Linked DNA regions of Schizosaccharomyces pombe. The protein of the gene in region 1 binds, or shares a complex with, the protein of each later gene. Each region holds a gene or a part of one and is shown in the gene's direction. Other genes may lie near its edges.

Region 1 (3,754 bases):
TTCGTCCAGTTCCTCACAATGTAACCAAGCCTGACCATAAACCCTGGAAGCACGAGGAACACTGCCATCACGGTAAGTTCCCTCGTCCAGTTCCCCACAATGGAACCAAGCCCGATCACAAGCCTTGGAAGCACGAGGAACACTGCTCTTGCCATGAAGACCATTCAGTTCATGAGCGTCCTAGTGCTAAAGGGGCTCTCGAGGACTATATTCAAACATTTGTAGAAACTTTCCAAATTGATGGTATTCGTTTCGATGCTATGGGTGACAAATATAGAAAGTACTGGCCAGATTTTTGCAAAGCTGCTGGAGTGTTTTGCATGGGTGACTTGAAATCTTCCGACTCTTTAAAAGTTTGTGATTGGCAAAACGACTTGGAAGGGTTGAGTAACTTCCCTGTTAGAGAATCTGCTGTAAAAGCATTTTTGATGAATAATCCAGAGGGAATTGTTGATCTTGCCGACAAAATGACTGACATGCGCGGTTTGTGTGTCAATCCCCTATTGTTAGGAAACTTCGTTGAGAACAAAGACCTTCCTAGAATGGCTTCAATTTCTAGTGATCCAGCCACCTTAAAGAATGCAATTGCTTTTGTTCTTATGGGAGATGGTATTCCTATGATGTACAACGGCCAAGAACTTGCCATGCGCGGTGAAGAGGTTCCTTATAATCGACCTGCAATTTGGGAGAAAGGTTTCCCAAAAAGAAATCCTTACTATAAGTTCACGTCTACAATCAATCGTTTCCGCAAAGCTATGATTGAAAGCAAAGACGGAGAAGCTTTCTTAAATATGCAGTCGGATATTAGCATCGTTGATAAAAGAATATTGCTTTTACGACGTGGCAAAGTAATAACCGTACTCAACAACTTAGGTTCATATTACATTCATTTCCATTATACTGTTTCGGCAGAAGAGCACAAGTGGATGGACGTATTATCTTGCAAGTCCGTTCCAGTACAAGATAATCGACAGGTATTTATGGTACGCAACGGTGAACCCATGATCTTGTACCCAGAGGAATCGGCTTATGAGATGGGATTGTGCCCATCTCCAATTCAGCTTACTGAAGATTATAACAGTGAAGGTTCTCTCTCCATTAACGTTGAAGAAGCCCAAACATCAAAGGCACCAGAGCAAAATCGAGGATTTACCAATGTCCTCGCCGCTCTTTTATTATCTTTGTTAATGATTTTGTAGGTATACGTTCCTTGAAATCTAATAATATACAGATTTTTTATTTTACATAAACCTTTTTCATATAAAGTATGATGACTTAGTTTACAGACCCATAGGGCTCTGTACTGAAGTTCATGAACGATAAGTCACCTCAATATAAATAATAGACGGGTAAATCCATTTTAATTTTTGGCTTTAAATTACAAAGTACTCAAGTAAAGCTTTAGCCAAAAAAATTTAAACTCCCATAATGATATCCGACGCAAACCGTCCAAACGTATTCATAATTGCGGTGGTGTGGCTAACTTGTATTTGACACAAGGCGAGCTGCGATACCCAAACACGTCCAGTTCCCTTAAATACTTCGTTGTTGGTTTATATAGGTATTTCAGCAAGTTATACCTAATATTCAGATAATTTGCTTATGCTCAACACAGGTCTACGAAAAGGGCTTGCGCTTTCACCGATAACTCACCTTCTGAAACGATGTAGTTCAGTTACAGACAATGTGCATCGAGTAAACTATTGCTACAATTACCACACAGTTCCTAATCTTTCACAAAGAAATTTGCTACCACTTTTCAGTCCTGAAGCTCTTGACATTGCCTGGGACCAGCATCAACGTCAAGTAGTAAAAGAATTAAATGATCGAGTGAAGGGAACAGAACTTGAGGATTCATCTGTGTTTAACATTATCTTTCAAACAGCCGCTTTGCCTGAGCATGCAGCCACATTCCAGTTTGCAAGTCAAGCTTACAACAATCATTTCTTTTTTCAAAGCTTGATCGGAAAAAGAGCTGCAGATGCCAAAAAAAACTCAAAATATGAAGCTAATGCCGCTATCAATAAAGCAGTCAATGAAAACTTTGGTTCTAAAGAAAATTTACTTTCTAAAATTCATGAGCTTGCCTCAAATAGTTTTGGAGCATGTTGGCTTTGGATTGTAATTGATGATTATAATAGATTAAACTTACTGAGAACTTTTCAAGCAGGTTCTCCGTATCTTTGGACTAGATGGCAATCAAATGATCCCCATCTTATTTCTAGTGTGCCAGATTATAGTGCCAGACCTCGAAAATATGCGCATGTTCCCATTTTAAACCTTTGTTTATGGAATCATGCATATTATAAAGATTACGGTCTTTTAAATCGCTCAAGATACATCGACACATGGTTTGATTGCATAGATTGGTCTGTCATTGAGGAAAGATTGACTAATTCTTTGGTATGAAAGAAAGGTGCAATCAATTTAGATAATTATATCTCATCACAATCTTGTTATGATTTTAAAAAAACGCCTTTTTCTACTTTCACCTTATAAATTTCATTCTAATTTTAATAAAAATTGTGTTTTCTCTACTCGTCCTTGAAACTTCTACAGTAGACTGTTTTGGCTCATGCTCGTATTCTAAATGATTTTAGGCTAATTCCGAGCAATCGAGTCATATAAGTTAAGTAATTTATTAACCAATTAACCGATTTATTGCTTAGAGGTTGAGATTAAAAACATTTTTTTTGTAAAGCTAGAAAAGCGCCAATACACAATGTAATTTACAGTTTATAGTGTCTCTTTTTCATGCAAAATTAAAAAAAAAAGATACCACAGAAAGGAGAAATTGAAATTTTACTGGTGGTTTATTTGCAAAGATAGAGTGGATTAGATTGATATCTAAATGAGAATTGACTAGTAAAGAAAAAGAATGTTCAAGTTAAAAAATCAGTGAGATAAGTGGACGAGCAATTTATCTCCTTGCCGCTGGGTGAACATTTTAACTCTCAAAGAAAGACAGACACCCTTTAGTTATTTGACCACAGGGCTGAATAAACAAAGATTAAAGAGACAAGGGTAGATGCAAGATATCTTCAAGTTATAAAACGAATGAAATAACGTATAAAAGCGATTATTGGATAAATTAATACTCTTCGTCAGCTTCGTACATTTCGTTATCCATAGAATCTTGACCAACCTCTTCGTAATCCCTTTCTAAGGCAGCCAAATCTTCTCTGGCTTCTGAAAATTCACCTTCTTCCATACCTTCACCGACATACCAATGAACAAAAGCACGCTTGCTGTACATAAGGTCAAACTTGTGGTCCAGACGAGACCAAGCTTCAGCAATCGAGGTGGTATTTGAAAGCATACAAACAGCACGATTTACCTTAGCGATTCCACTACCAGGAACGTGTTGGGGTGGCTCATAGCAAATACCGATTTTGAAACCAGTAGGGCACCAATCAACAAATTGGATGGTGCGACGAGATTTAATGCTAGTAACGGCAGCCTGGACATCACGTGGGATAACATCACCACGATACAAAAGACAAGTAGCCATATAGCGGCCAGTTCGTGGATCACATTTTACCATTTGATTATAAGGCTCAAAGCACTGATTCGTAATCTCTTGTACGCTGTTGGATTCATGGAATGCTTTAGCTGCACTGACAATAGGAGAATAAGTGACTAAAGGAAAGTGAATACGAGGGTATGGCACAAGATTAGTTTGAAACTCATTTAAGTCAACATTTAAGCTACCAGCAAATCGAAGAGAAGCGGTGATAGAAGAGACAACTTGAGC
Region 2 (4,751 bases), 2.0 Mb from region 1:
AAGTCCGGTGAAGAAGACGTGGAGATGGATACAATGGAAGATGAAAACGAAAACGATGAAGATACTGAGCAAACCTCTGAAAAGAAGGAAACTGAAGAAACACCAAAGGAAAATCCACTTGAGAAATTAAAACAAAAGGCTTCAACGGCCAGCTTTTATGATGTGGTGCCTACCCTGGCAATCCCTATGGCTACCAGCATAAACGCATTTGCTTTCACATCGGATTTAAAATGGCTTTTCACTGGTGGGGAAGACGGATATATAAGGAAGTATGATTTTTTTCCTAGCATTAATGGTGATCTCTCCCTGACTGTTGCACAGAGACATCCCTTTGTGGATACAGTAACGAAGGCTGGAATATTACTCAACTACTGGGAGAATGCTTACGATGGAAATAAACCATCTTCGGTATATAGCCTTGCAGCTCATTCCAGAGGTCTTTGGGTTCTTTCGGGCGTCAATAATGGAGATATTATACTGTACTCTACAAGACATCAAGAGGGTTATCCCGTTACTTCTTTAAAAAAGCATACGGCTCCTGTTTCGTGTTTAGCATTACATGGTTCCGAGAAAAAAGTATTGAGTGGAAGCTGGGACAAAATGGTTTATTACTGGGACCTTAACACTGGTGATGCAATATCTACATACAATTGTGAGAGTGGTCAAATTTCGAATATAGTTTATCGTCCATCAGGCGCTGTAAATCCTTGGGGTTCTGAATCGGACGACATGCGTAGTTTGTTCGGTACACCTGCGTCTTCCTCTTCTTACGATGCACTGTTTGATGAAGAGGTGGAAAAAGCCATTGAAGAAGAAACTAAATCTGTTCAAGCAAATGAGGAGAACGAGACAGAAAAACCCTCTCAAACCGAATCTACTACTAACAATGACAACATAAAAGCTCCTTCCGAATCTTCATCCGAAGAGTCCAATATTTTCTTAACGACGTCTATAGATGGAGTTATGAATGTATGGGACCATCGCATGGTCGATTCTGTTCTCAAATACCCCGTCCCCAAGGGTGTACCACCATGGGCTATGTCTGCATGTTGGAGTCCGGATGGAAATAATATATATATTGGCCGCCGAAATGGAATCGTCGAAGAATATAACATTCACTCTGGCAAGGAGCCTGTTCGCTCTTTAAAAATGCCTCTCGATTCGGGTCCTGTTTCAAATGTCTATTCGATGCCGAATGGCCGTCACCTTGTAATTTCCTCCTTTGATAATATCCGCCTTTATGATCTTCAAAGCAAGGCCGGCATAGGGTTCTTAATTATTCCAGGTCATCATGGAGGTCTTGTCAGTTCGCTTTATGTAGACACTTCTTGTCAATTCATGTTTTCAGCTAGTGGAAATCGAGGATGGCAAGGAACTACTACTGAAGTGTTCCTCGGATACCAAATAATGACTTCATAAAATGCTTTCTCTAAAACACATATTCGCAATAATGTACATTATGATAATAGACTGAAAGGAAGTGGGTTACGATTTAGTCGGTCAAATACAAAATGGTCTTTGAAAGGCACTTTGGATTTTGCCTTAGTAGGGTCAATTATATGCCTATTGTCGTTTAACTTTAAAAATCTTTTTGAATTGTCTCCCTTTCAACATTTGAAATAAACATCTCAGTTAAAGTTTTTAGAATAATTGTTAAGCCCATGCACTCTTCATTAGTTGATTGCTTTTTGGGTTTTTGGTTACTCTCTAAATAATTTGAGGTAAGTTTATAAATGTTTCCTTAAACCTATTTCCCCTTTTTTGCCGAATATAATAAACTTAGGTATTAAGCTGAGATTGTTGGTTATGAACTTTCTGACAAATATGATACACAAATCGTTTTGTTTGTATAACATGTATTCTAAAACTTTCCTCTACTTTAATTTTCAATTTGGAATTTCCTAATCAATTTAATGCCATCCATCCGCTTTATTATTTGTTGATGTGTCAATTGCCAAACAAAAATATCAAGGACATGCGAAACTCTTGTCTAAAGAAGCAATGACCGTATTTAATGAATTTTTTTCGTTTGATTCTGTAGAAATTATGACTTAAATTGTGTATTTATTTTTTAAGTATTGATGTGTATAACTGTTCGTATCCTAATATTGGAACTGACTCTCAAACATTCTATAGAATAAACAAAATCTTACTTTATTGCATACTGAGAGTTATTGTCTCATAAATAAATCAAGCGTCTGTATGTTAATCGGATCTTATAATGGAGCTAGATTGCTTGACCGCCGGAGGTTAAATTTGAGTTTTCCTAAATCGTCTCATTAATTATTGGTTTTTTGAAGTTTATTTTCTATATCTATCTTGATGAATAGAATTAGGGCGTGTTACTAACTTTTGGGGAGTGACACAAGAAACCTTTCCAACGCACCTAAATGAGGAATTCAGTGGAATTCTCACAGTTAGGGCTTAAAACGGCTTTTAATTTATCTCAAAATAAAACTTATACCTCAGCAGTCAAGAAACAATTCTTTAGTACTGGAGCATTTTTAAGCAATGGGGGAAATATTGATTTAAATAAACACACTCAAAAGAACATTGATTCAAAGTACGTTGCTTGCAACTCAAGATCTGTAACACCCCCAAATGATGTTGCTTCTTCAGTTTCTAAGAATACACTTCGTCATAAACAACGTTTAATGATGGCTCAATGGTTAATGTCTCCCGAAGTACAGAAAGCAAAGTCCTCATCATCTGGTAATGTAGGCTTGGGACCTAATACAAATCAGCCCTTCCCTTTAAACCCTTTTTTTAAGCCTCCTAGGCCTATATCTCATTCTTTGCGTATGAAAATTACCGATGAATACTTGCAGGGTGCAAGTATAGAAGTGCTTGCTCGAAAATTCAACACATCTCCACAAAGGATTGAAGCTCTTATAAAGTTGAGAAGAATAAATGATGAATTCGAAGAAAAAAAGAAGCCGATTCTTCATAGTTATAATGAAGTTATGGAGAAAATGCTGAACGCATGTACTAAACCTGAGATGATGCAGTTTAATGACGGAAACGATATTCCTTTGCGTTCCAATCCAGTATCCCTTTGGAAGAGTTTGCCTGAGGGAGAAACGTTTACACCTCAAGAGGCTGCTAAAATCCTGAAGTGGCCTTCGATTGAGGAATTAAACATGAGACAAAACGCTACTCACTTCCACAAAACATCTGATGAGCACAAAGATTTGAATGAAGATGAAGAGCTAATTTCTTCAAGCCCCAGCGAAGTTGGGAAGCGTGTTTTTAGGCTCATTGATCTTTCTACTGGTAATGTGTATAGAAGGGATACCGGCGGGGATATTTATGTTAAGAGAAAAAAATCTACTACCTGAAAATCAAGCATTTATTTCCCGTTTTTGAAAGAAAATTTACCCCCTTAGCATGCATTAGCGGCAGTACAATCCATTTCAAACTTTTGCGAAATAAAATCTTGAATTGTTACAAATTCACTCAGCAAATTCTTCTAGTTGTTGCATTATCTAAAAGTTATTTGTACATATAAAAATTGCATAGTTTTTTTTGCTTTCGTTGCCATATTGACTTTTTCAAATTAAACAAAGAAACTTTTTTTAGCCGTTTAATACAAATACTGATAAGAAGGGTTGCACATACGATGAAACAGTCTATACAACACTGTGCTTCAGTTTGATTTAGAACAGAAACTTATCTAACATATTAAATATACATTGTGCCAGTTTCAGAAGCGATGAACACTATATTGTATGGTTCATAACGCCGTCAACCAATTCTGTGTCAAGTCCAAATTCTTCTTTTATGCTTTCAAAGTAATCTCCAGCAATGACATGATTTAGTTGTTCTACGACTTGCTGAATTACTATGTCCTTTTTCGTATCTCCCATGATGATGTCGAGATGCTCATAGTTAGGAATCTTTAATTTTAACTTGTTAGTTTCCACTTAAGTAAATGAAGCTACAACTGTTTCAGAACATACCTGAATGCATTGAGATAATGGTGGAAGTTGGGTCTTGAGTGTTTCAATGTCCACCATGTTATCGTTACTGCCATAAACTAAAGTAATAGGTAGACGTATATTTTCAATCGGATAGCGAGCAATTCGGTTAAGATTTGTATAGTAACTTGGCTTAAATCCTGGACTGTCATCGTACATTTGTAATACTTTGCGACGCGTAATTTGAGCCCAATGTACAAAGCATTTGACAGAAGTAAAGGAATATAGATGGGAGTATGCAACGATTTTCTGAGTTTCGGAAATATTTTTTCCGGTCCAGCTCAGAAAAAAGCGAAGAAACAGATCAACAATTTTTGCAAAAACTGGCGGATATAAAACTGCTTGCCAAAACACAGCAGAACCAAGCATGGAATTTCGACCGAACATTAGGTAAAGAAGTTGGCTATTAGCGTGAATAATAGATTTAACGGTTCTACCACTATACTTTTTAGGAGCAATTGCAGGAGCTAGAGCAATAAATGCTCGTACGGAATTGCGAAGTTCAGTATCAATAGACAGCGCTGCAAATGCTAATATAGCGCCCTGAGAAAATCCAACAAGGCTTATAGAATCAAAACTGTTAACGGACAGTATATATTTAACAATGGAAGGTATGTCAAAAATAGCGATACTATCAAGACTGAAATCCCAAAACTTTGGATTTTGAGAGCTGAATTTGATATTCTTTATACTATATTTGTTTCCTCGTAAGTTTCCAAGCCAAACATCGTATCCTTGTTCCACAAGAGCAAATGGAATGGCATCTTCCTTTTT
Region 3 (4,166 bases), 3.7 Mb from region 1:
ACTTCTTGTTGATGAAACGCTAACCGCAAAAAAAAATTTAACAATACACCGTTTAATAAACGAGAAATTAGAAGAAAAGCGGGATTATTTCAAAAAAGGAGAGGAAGCGAAAACTAAAGGAAAGATAGAATGGGTGGAAATTGTAGTAGGAAAGCAAATAAAATTGGAACCCAAGAAAACGCCTATAGTAGTTGTCTTTGAGCGAAGGAAAGTATAAAACAACAAAAAATTAGGTTTTTCCTCTTTCAAGTTGAATTATTATGAAACCGGGTTGAACAGGAATCTTCAAGGTAAGCGACCCCAAGAACGCACTCGTTCACGAACTAACCAAGTAAACGAGACAAGATGAACAAGCTTGACAGGATAAACAATGAAAGAAGAAAAACTTATAAAAACTAAATATATAAAGGGGAATATAGTAAAAATTGGCCCCCAAGCTGCGTTATAAGGAATTGACAGCAATTATATGATGACGGAGAAGAAAGGAGTAGAAACTGACGCAAGGCAGGATGTAAACGTCAAATCTTCAGGTGTTCCGATATGTAATGAGTCTTAAAACTGCTACTAGCCTAAAACCTAGCACCGTTCATCCACAAAGCGATGTCCAAAGAAACGTTTCAATCCGATGTTCCTATTTTGCTTGAATCCGTCGACACAACACACTGACTTGACAGTAACCGGGAGTACGATGGCAAAAATCAATGTCAGTGGATCCAGCAATTCGTAACAACACCAAAAGAATGGGCAATTCAGAACAAGATCAAAATGCTAACTAAAAGAAGCCTAGGTGTTGGGAAATCTCAAAATACCAATTAACCGAACTCCCCAAACAACGATTCGTACGAAAGCAACAAAAACCCTCTAAGATTCAATCAATAGCTTTCTTGATCACTAGAAATTTTCAAGAACGGATGGAGTTAAATATTCAACAGGGATGCGCAATCTACGCGAGTCTTAAGTTATGTTTTGCTGTCGCTAAGTAGAATTTATGGGAGGGAGGAAAAAGCTAAAAGTAGACGAAGCCGCTTAAGCTAAGGAATGTCTATAGCGATTAACATTACGTTATAAGGATTGCGTGGTGAAAAGAAGGTTGGCAAACTACGCATTACATGAGTAACGTTCGTTTATGGTATCTCGTATACGCATTCTACAATCGCTTACAGTATTCCTGTTTAGCAAACTCGATACAAGCAAAGCATACCTTGAACAACGTGGAGAATGCTCGCTTTGTAGTATTCGTGTTACCGTAATTCGTGCTGTATCTCACTCCGGGGGTAGTGAATATGATCAATTCACACTGCTTATAAAGAGAAATAGAGTCAGCAGGAAGTAGAAAGATAAATGGAAGGAAAAGAACGTAATTTCTATCCCAGAAAACGTTTGAAATGATCTTTTGAAATTATGTTTTGTTTGTAAGTATGAACGAAAAGCAAGGCACAACGCTATTTTATAAACAACGGAGTGCACAATACGATACGTCCATCTGCTTTCCATCCTTGATACCTGCATTGTCTTCGTGTTTACTCAAGTTGCTCTTAACCATACTCCTACCACCAAGTGGGAAAGACGGGATTTGTAGGACTCGTTGAAAACCGGCTCTTCTCAATGGTAGTAAAAATTCGTTTGGCGCGTCATGGCGTCAGAAATAGACCTTTTTACCATATCGTAGTTGCGAATGCATGGTAAGTAGGATGAAAACATACCTAGACGGTTGTTTCGTGTTTTACAACACTTGTAGCGGTTCACGTAAAGGGGAAAGTTTTTGTACAGGATTTAGTAAGGGAGATGGCTTGATGTGGGTTATGAAAGAATGGAAGATAAAATGCTAAAAGACTGCTTTTTTTTGACGGTTCCTTTGGCTCTAAATTGCGATCTTTTTTAGAAGCTTTAGTTTTCAGGTATTCCTGGATGCTCTCATCTATTTAATCTAGTCTTTCTACATAGTATTCAAAATGCCAAGGACACCAACCACAATTTTTCTTATTAATTGACTATTTATTGTGGTTTGGCCCCCTTGGCCTCTATTAACTGTTTACATATCACCTGTACATCCTTTTTTTTCTCCTTCATCCATTCCTGTCTTTTGGTTCGACTTTGTTAACTCAATATAGGAAAGCACCTCAAGCCAAACCTATCGAAACCATCGGCACTTTTGATCCCATCCCTAAGAAGATTGATTCTCAGGACTCCATTCCTCGTATAAAAGATATCCAGCTCAACGTTGAACGTTTTAAATATTGGATAAGTGTAGGAGCACAACCATCCGACACCGTCCGCTCTTTAGCTGAAAAGGTATGCCCAAGCTCTCTTTATCTATTTTTATGACTAGTCCAAATTCGTTAAACTTTCTTTCAACTCTCTTTTTTGACTAAAATTTTCGACCCGCTTGCGATATACCGCTCGGGTGATTTTTCTCATGTTCCCTAACTGCCCGGCTTTCCGAAATGGAGTGTAGGATCTCATCCCTGTTTTCGTTACGATTTGGCTACTAATTTACTTGTTTTACTTCTTTCTATCAATCTATCAATTCTTACTAACGTTACTTTTTTCACTTTTAGTTCCAGTTGCTTCCTAAAAAACCCGTTTCTTGAAACTCACTATAATCGTTATTGCTCAAGTCATGACATTTCTTTTTTACGACCACTTCACAATGTCTAGATATCTTTAACACATTTTTTATTTTTTTTTACACTTTATCTCTGTGATCACGCTAATTACCTCTCTCAACTAAATTTCATAATTTTTGACCGATTTTACCCTTCCGTACTGTTTTTTTAAAACCACGTTTTTTGGCTGAGTGCGATATTTGTTTTCTTTACGATTCTTTTTATTACAATATCACCTTTTTTTTTTTAATTCCTTCTCCACATTATCGTTAGCGTAGTGATATCTTAATTTCTAAATTTTTTAAAGTGTCTATCTATCTGAGGTTATGCGCTAGTTGAAAGCGCTCATAATTTGATGCTATCCATTTGTAATTACTTGTTGCTTTGTACTTAAAATTGTTTGGTAATGAGAAATCTTGGTACCAATATTTTGCCTTTGTAATTTTTAGCTTTTGCGTTTATGGTTAAAATGGATCTTCACTTTATACTGAAACTTCATTTCGTTTACTGATGTTATACCCTTATTTTTTTAGAAACAAATTAACAGCTTCATTTCAAATATTTAGGTTAATATCGGTGTATCTATTATTGCTTAGATTTTTGGACTTTCCGTTCGGAAACGGCAATGCGCTTTGTTGCTTTCCTGATTTCCTCATTCGTTTAATTGGAACTGAACACGTTCATTAATAGCCAATTGCAATAGTTGTACAATTCTAACAAATCATTCCTGTACTTCCGTTGAATTTATAAAAGACTTGTCTCAAAGGATTTAAAATCGTTCAACAATGAATATTAACAACTTAATCGTTTGTAACAAAATATTATAAATGGTGAACTAGCCTTATAAGCTAATTTATTAACTGTACCAGAAGCAATTTACTTTGGTATTATTACCATATTTCATCAACCAGTCCAACTCTACACCACTACATTTATTCATGCACCGAACAGTGTAATTTTCAATTAATGCATTAAATACAAGCTAAACATCACAAACCAAATAGTATGTAAAAATAAACTTGAAAAAGAAAGCGAGAAATCACTTAATGAAAAAAAAAAATCTACTACCAAATCTCGAAATGAGTATAGATCAAATTGCAATGCTTTTTCCCTGACATGCATATGTGTAACCGACATATAAGTAATAAACTAGTATACCGCATAGATAATCTAAATGAAAAGTGCTGATTTCGTACTAAAAGCCAACCGTTAAAAGAACCTTTAGTAAAATCGTTGATCGTAAAACTTCAGTTGAACGTTTAAAGAGCGAAAGATACCTATATACTTTCAAGCATTATTTTAAGCCCTGATTGCACAACCAAGAGAGCTTTTGGGCCAATCCTCCCAAAAGTAGAAAAAAGGACACTGTTAAGGACGGAAAACTATAGCAGCCCGAAAAGCACACATAAATTTAAGAAACAAAAATATAAGTAACACAAATTTATTCCATCCGTTTGACAGGTTGTTCTCCTGCTGGCAATGAAGGATGAGTGTCACCAATGTAAATCCAGAAGCCTGGTTCAATAACTTCTAAAACAGCTTGGGCTAAAGCATTCCTGG
Region 4 (3,565 bases), on another chromosome or scaffold:
AGCGTGGTTACACCGATTTACTGGTATTAAATGAGGATCGTAAAAAAACAAATGCATTAACCCTTGTACACTTACCGAATGGCCCTTCGTTCTATTTTACCTTATCGAATCTCCAAACAGCAAAGGAAATTTCAAATCATGGCCGCTCCACTGGTCATATTCCAGAACTGATAATCAACAATTTCTCAACGAGACTTGGTATGACTGTTGCTCGAGCCTTTCAATCATTATTTATTCAAACGCCTCAAATTCAAGGGCGACAAGTTGTTACCATCCATTGTCAAAGAGATTTTCTTTTTTTTCGAAGACACCGTTATGCATTTCGTGAAAAATCGAATATGCCAGATGGTATTGGAACTGGGCTACAAGAATTAGGTCCTCGATTTACCATGCGTCTTCGTATGGTTCAAAAAGGAGTATGGGATAGGAAAGAAGGGGAGGTTTTCTTCGAGAGCAATGCCGGTGAAGAATCAGATAGACGTAAATTCTGGCTTTAAAGACATTTTGTCTCATCTGCGACACGTTGTAAAAAGAAAACAGTGTTTGGGTCATATTTTATTGTTTTCGAGGTAGGGTTTGGGTTTGGTAACAATTCTAAATTTTTGGTTAAAAAAGAAAGCATGGCCTTTCATTTTGTATCATTCGTTTACGGTGAAATTGGGAATGAATAATATGATACATGTAGACTAGAAACTAGGAGACATAATTCTTTAATTCAATTATTGGTTTATTTAAAAATCCTAATTAGATTATACTTGCTCGTAATTAGTGATACATTTTTTTATATACTTGAACTTGTCTATAACACTTTCGAGCACTACCGAAGATATTAATTATACTCATAAAAGGCGCTCGCCTATTTAGAAAGCCGTGGTGGTGTGTCCGTAGGAGTCCTCGTTTCTACGGGGAACCTCCTGTTAATTGAATCGCTCATTGCGGCTTTATATAATGTTTCACTCGTATGCTTCAGTTCCTCGCAAGCAATTTTCATTGCAGAGAATTGGTTTTTTAGAAGATTCTCTCTTTGTTTTTCTTGTCGATATTCGTGTATACGCCAAGCGCGATTAATAACTTCGTGTTTTTCCCACATGTCTGGATTCATTTTCAAAGACCTGACTTTTTTATTTCCGTAAAGAGCTTTTCTAACCAAATCGATTGACTCACTATGATTAGAAGGACCAGATTGGTGCTTTCCCTTTGAGGCCTTAGCCATTAATTGTAACGTAGAACGCATCTGCCAAAAAACTTTTCAACACAAACTAAAGTACTCCTTGAATTTTTTCACGTTGATAGAAAAAAATTTAATTTTCAAAAGTATTAACATAAAACCTTCCTTTAAAAGCTAAAAAACCTGAGTAGAGAAAAATGCGGTAGTAGTAAACGTGTTCAGTGGTATGAAGCTAATTAAGAGAGTAAGTCGTGATACACTAGGAAAAGCCACCAGTACGATATTTCAAAAAAAGAAGTGTTTCATCAAATCCCCTTCAATTTCACACACTGATAAAAAAAATATAGATTATAATTCGGAGTTCATTTAATTGTTTCTGAATTTTCAGTAGCTAAGCCAAACAAAGCATATGCATTTATGGAGATATGTAACCAAACGAAGACATTTAACAAGTAGAAAATATTAAGTTTTAAGTCAAAGCTTTATATGGAGTAGGCCTGATGCTCAATTTTTCTGCTAAGTTTCATGTAAGTAGTCAAACACATTGATAAATCCATATCAGTGTTTAAAGTTTTAATGAATGGATAAGTTATTGTAATAAATACTATCATCAACTGAAAATGGCATGGCAAAACGAAGCTTAAACCTCAATACAATCTACTTCCAGTACGTTTTTCAGTAGAAGTCATGAATTAAGTTGATTTTTTCAGCTTAACACTGTACTGTAAATTTGTCGATTAGCATACCTACATTCTGCATCTGTTTTAGACTAGTCCATTAAAGTTCAATTCCTAGAGGAAAAAATATTTAATACGCTAGTTATACCCAAAAATGTTTGTCAAAATATAAAAGAATAAATTTTTGTATCCCATCGAATAATATGAATGCTGCGAGATATTCTATTCCAAGGCAATATACATACACTAACACCAAACCAGCGACGTTCGGGTACAAACTTCGGAATTCCTTGCTCAAGCATCTATTATAGTGATTTTTGAGATTTTATACAGCTCAAATATTAAATTTCCCCAAATAATGATCCGTTTTGCTCAATATGCTCGATATCCGGTAATTTCAAGGTTGATGAAGCCAACAGTTATTTCACCATTTCAGGCTCAAGCGTTTTCTAGCTCTTCAGTTATGTTAAAGACATTAAATCAAACGATAAGAAATAAAGAGAAACGTCCTGAAAAAACAAATAAGCAATCTGTTGCTTTAGAGGGAAGTCCGTTTCGACGGGGTGTGTGCACGAGGGTCTTTACAGTAAAACCCAAAAAACCTAATTCGGCAGTAAGAAAGGTTGCCCGTGTACGCCTTTCAACCGGCCGTTCTGTTACTGCTTACATTCCAGGTATCGGTCATAATGCACAGGAGCATGCTGTGGTATTGTTAAGAGGCGGCAGAGCACAGGATTGTCCAGGAGTCCAATATCATGTTGTTCGGGGTGTCTATGACATTGCTGGTGTAGCGGGACGTGTCACATCCCGAAGCAAGTATGGAGTAAAAAAACCGAAAGCAGCCTAAACTTCATGACCTCAAAGACTTTCTTTTTCGAAAACCATGATATTCAGAAACGTTATCTTTATAATTATTCCACCTCCTCTTTTGATATCGATTCACAAGGACCTTATTAAAATGACTGAAACAAAAATTTAAATGAGAAAAAAGTTGAGTCAACCCATTTGTCATTTCTCGCAACCTTGCTTCTTGTTGCAACTATACATATTCAATAATCATTTACTCTTGCATGTTTAATAAGCAATTTTTTAGTTGAACTACATCCCCTTTAAACATACAATCATCAAAAAAAGGTAAAAAAGATTGTGTAATTAGGCAATTTCCAGTTATCTAAAAAATTAGCAAATAGATAATCCTTTTGGTTAAAATTTAACCAAATCTATCTAAACAATGATTTATTAAAATGAGGAGGATTTTCTTTTGAGAAATCCTTTTGGAAAGTTTTCTACTTTTTTGATATAAGCTCTTTAAATAAATTTTAAACTTGAGACGCTTTCAATTTTTAATTTGTTCAATTTGGTTTTACTACCGTGCTATTTAATTTTTAACTCTTGAATAAAGTATAAAAAACACCTTTTGGGTGTTGGAAAACGCTTTCCGGTTCTTATTTATATAGTATGCAGTATTGCTAGCACAACTTCACCGTTCAACGTTGCAGAAAAATTTACTAAACGATGAGAAAAATATTTTTTAACAAATCTTGGTTAATTGGATTTCTTGAAAGAAAAAGAAGATTTTATCTTGAACCCGAATAATTCATAAATTTGAGATAATAGGGTATGATGAATCTTATTTTTTACAAACTCAGATTAAAAAAAATCAAATTTCTTTTTGTTAGAATCAATTTACACACACATCTTTGAGATGTCCTGTAATGTT

Evidence for each region.
Region 2: SPOM_SPBC16A3.14 (region 1) and bot1 share a complex: the UniProt entries of both Schizosaccharomyces pombe proteins name them as parts of the mitochondrial small ribosomal subunit.
Region 3: SPOM_SPBC16A3.14 (region 1) and mrps16 share a complex: the UniProt entries of both Schizosaccharomyces pombe proteins name them as parts of the mitochondrial small ribosomal subunit.
Region 4: SPOM_SPBC16A3.14 (region 1) and mrps12 share a complex: the UniProt entries of both Schizosaccharomyces pombe proteins name them as parts of the mitochondrial small ribosomal subunit.

Annotation. Positions count from the first base shown.
Region 1 is NC_003423.3:4,269,786-4,273,539, reverse strand, and holds SPOM_SPBC16A3.14 (mitochondrial ribosomal protein subunit S26), read left to right. Parts: upstream 1-1,507; 5' UTR 1,508-1,602; coding exon 1,603-2,409; 3' UTR 2,410-2,549; downstream 2,550-3,754. Other genes in the region: meu7 (alpha-amylase 4), read left to right, coding at 1-1,199; nda2 (tubulin alpha 1), read right to left, coding at 3,092-3,754. UniProt on the Schizosaccharomyces pombe protein: Component of the mitochondrial ribosome (mitoribosome), a dedicated translation machinery responsible for the synthesis of mitochondrial genome-encoded proteins, including at least some of the essential transmembrane subunits of the mitochondrial respiratory chain.
Region 2 is NC_003423.3:2,230,751-2,235,501, reverse strand, and holds bot1 (mitochondrial ribosomal protein subunit S45), read left to right. Parts: upstream 1-2,379; 5' UTR 2,380-2,390; coding exon 2,391-3,338; 3' UTR 3,339-3,719; coding exon of another isoform or gene 3,720-3,896; 3' UTR 3,897-3,959; downstream 3,960-4,751. Other genes in the region: SAGA complex subunit Spt8, read left to right, coding at 1-1,419; SPOM_SPBC14C8.15 (triglyceride lipase-cholesterol esterase), read right to left, coding at 3,720-3,896, 3,960-4,751. UniProt on the Schizosaccharomyces pombe protein: Component of the mitochondrial ribosome (mitoribosome), a dedicated translation machinery responsible for the synthesis of mitochondrial genome-encoded proteins, including at least some of the essential transmembrane subunits of the mitochondrial respiratory chain.
Region 3 is NC_003423.3:554,288-558,453, forward strand, and holds mrps16 (mitochondrial ribosomal protein subunit S16), read left to right. Parts: upstream 1-1,537; 5' UTR 1,538-1,605; coding exon 1,606-1,682; exon of another isoform or gene 1,683-2,111; coding exon 2,112-2,292; intron 2,293-2,558; coding exon 2,559-2,591; 3' UTR 2,592-2,961; downstream 2,962-4,166. Other genes in the region: osh42 (oxysterol binding protein), read right to left, coding at 4,048-4,166. UniProt on the Schizosaccharomyces pombe protein: Component of the mitochondrial ribosome (mitoribosome), a dedicated translation machinery responsible for the synthesis of mitochondrial genome-encoded proteins, including at least some of the essential transmembrane subunits of the mitochondrial respiratory chain.
Region 4 is NC_003424.3:2,667,461-2,671,025, reverse strand, and holds mrps12 (mitochondrial 37S ribosomal protein uS12m), read left to right. Parts: upstream 1-2,093; 5' UTR 2,094-2,203; coding exon 2,204-2,692; 3' UTR 2,693-2,945; downstream 2,946-3,565. Other genes in the region: Brix domain-containing protein Rpf1, read left to right, coding at 1-497; mrpl28 (mitochondrial 54S ribosomal protein mL40), read right to left, coding at 857-1,213. UniProt on the Schizosaccharomyces pombe protein: Component of the mitochondrial ribosome (mitoribosome), a dedicated translation machinery responsible for the synthesis of mitochondrial genome-encoded proteins, including at least some of the essential transmembrane subunits of the mitochondrial respiratory chain.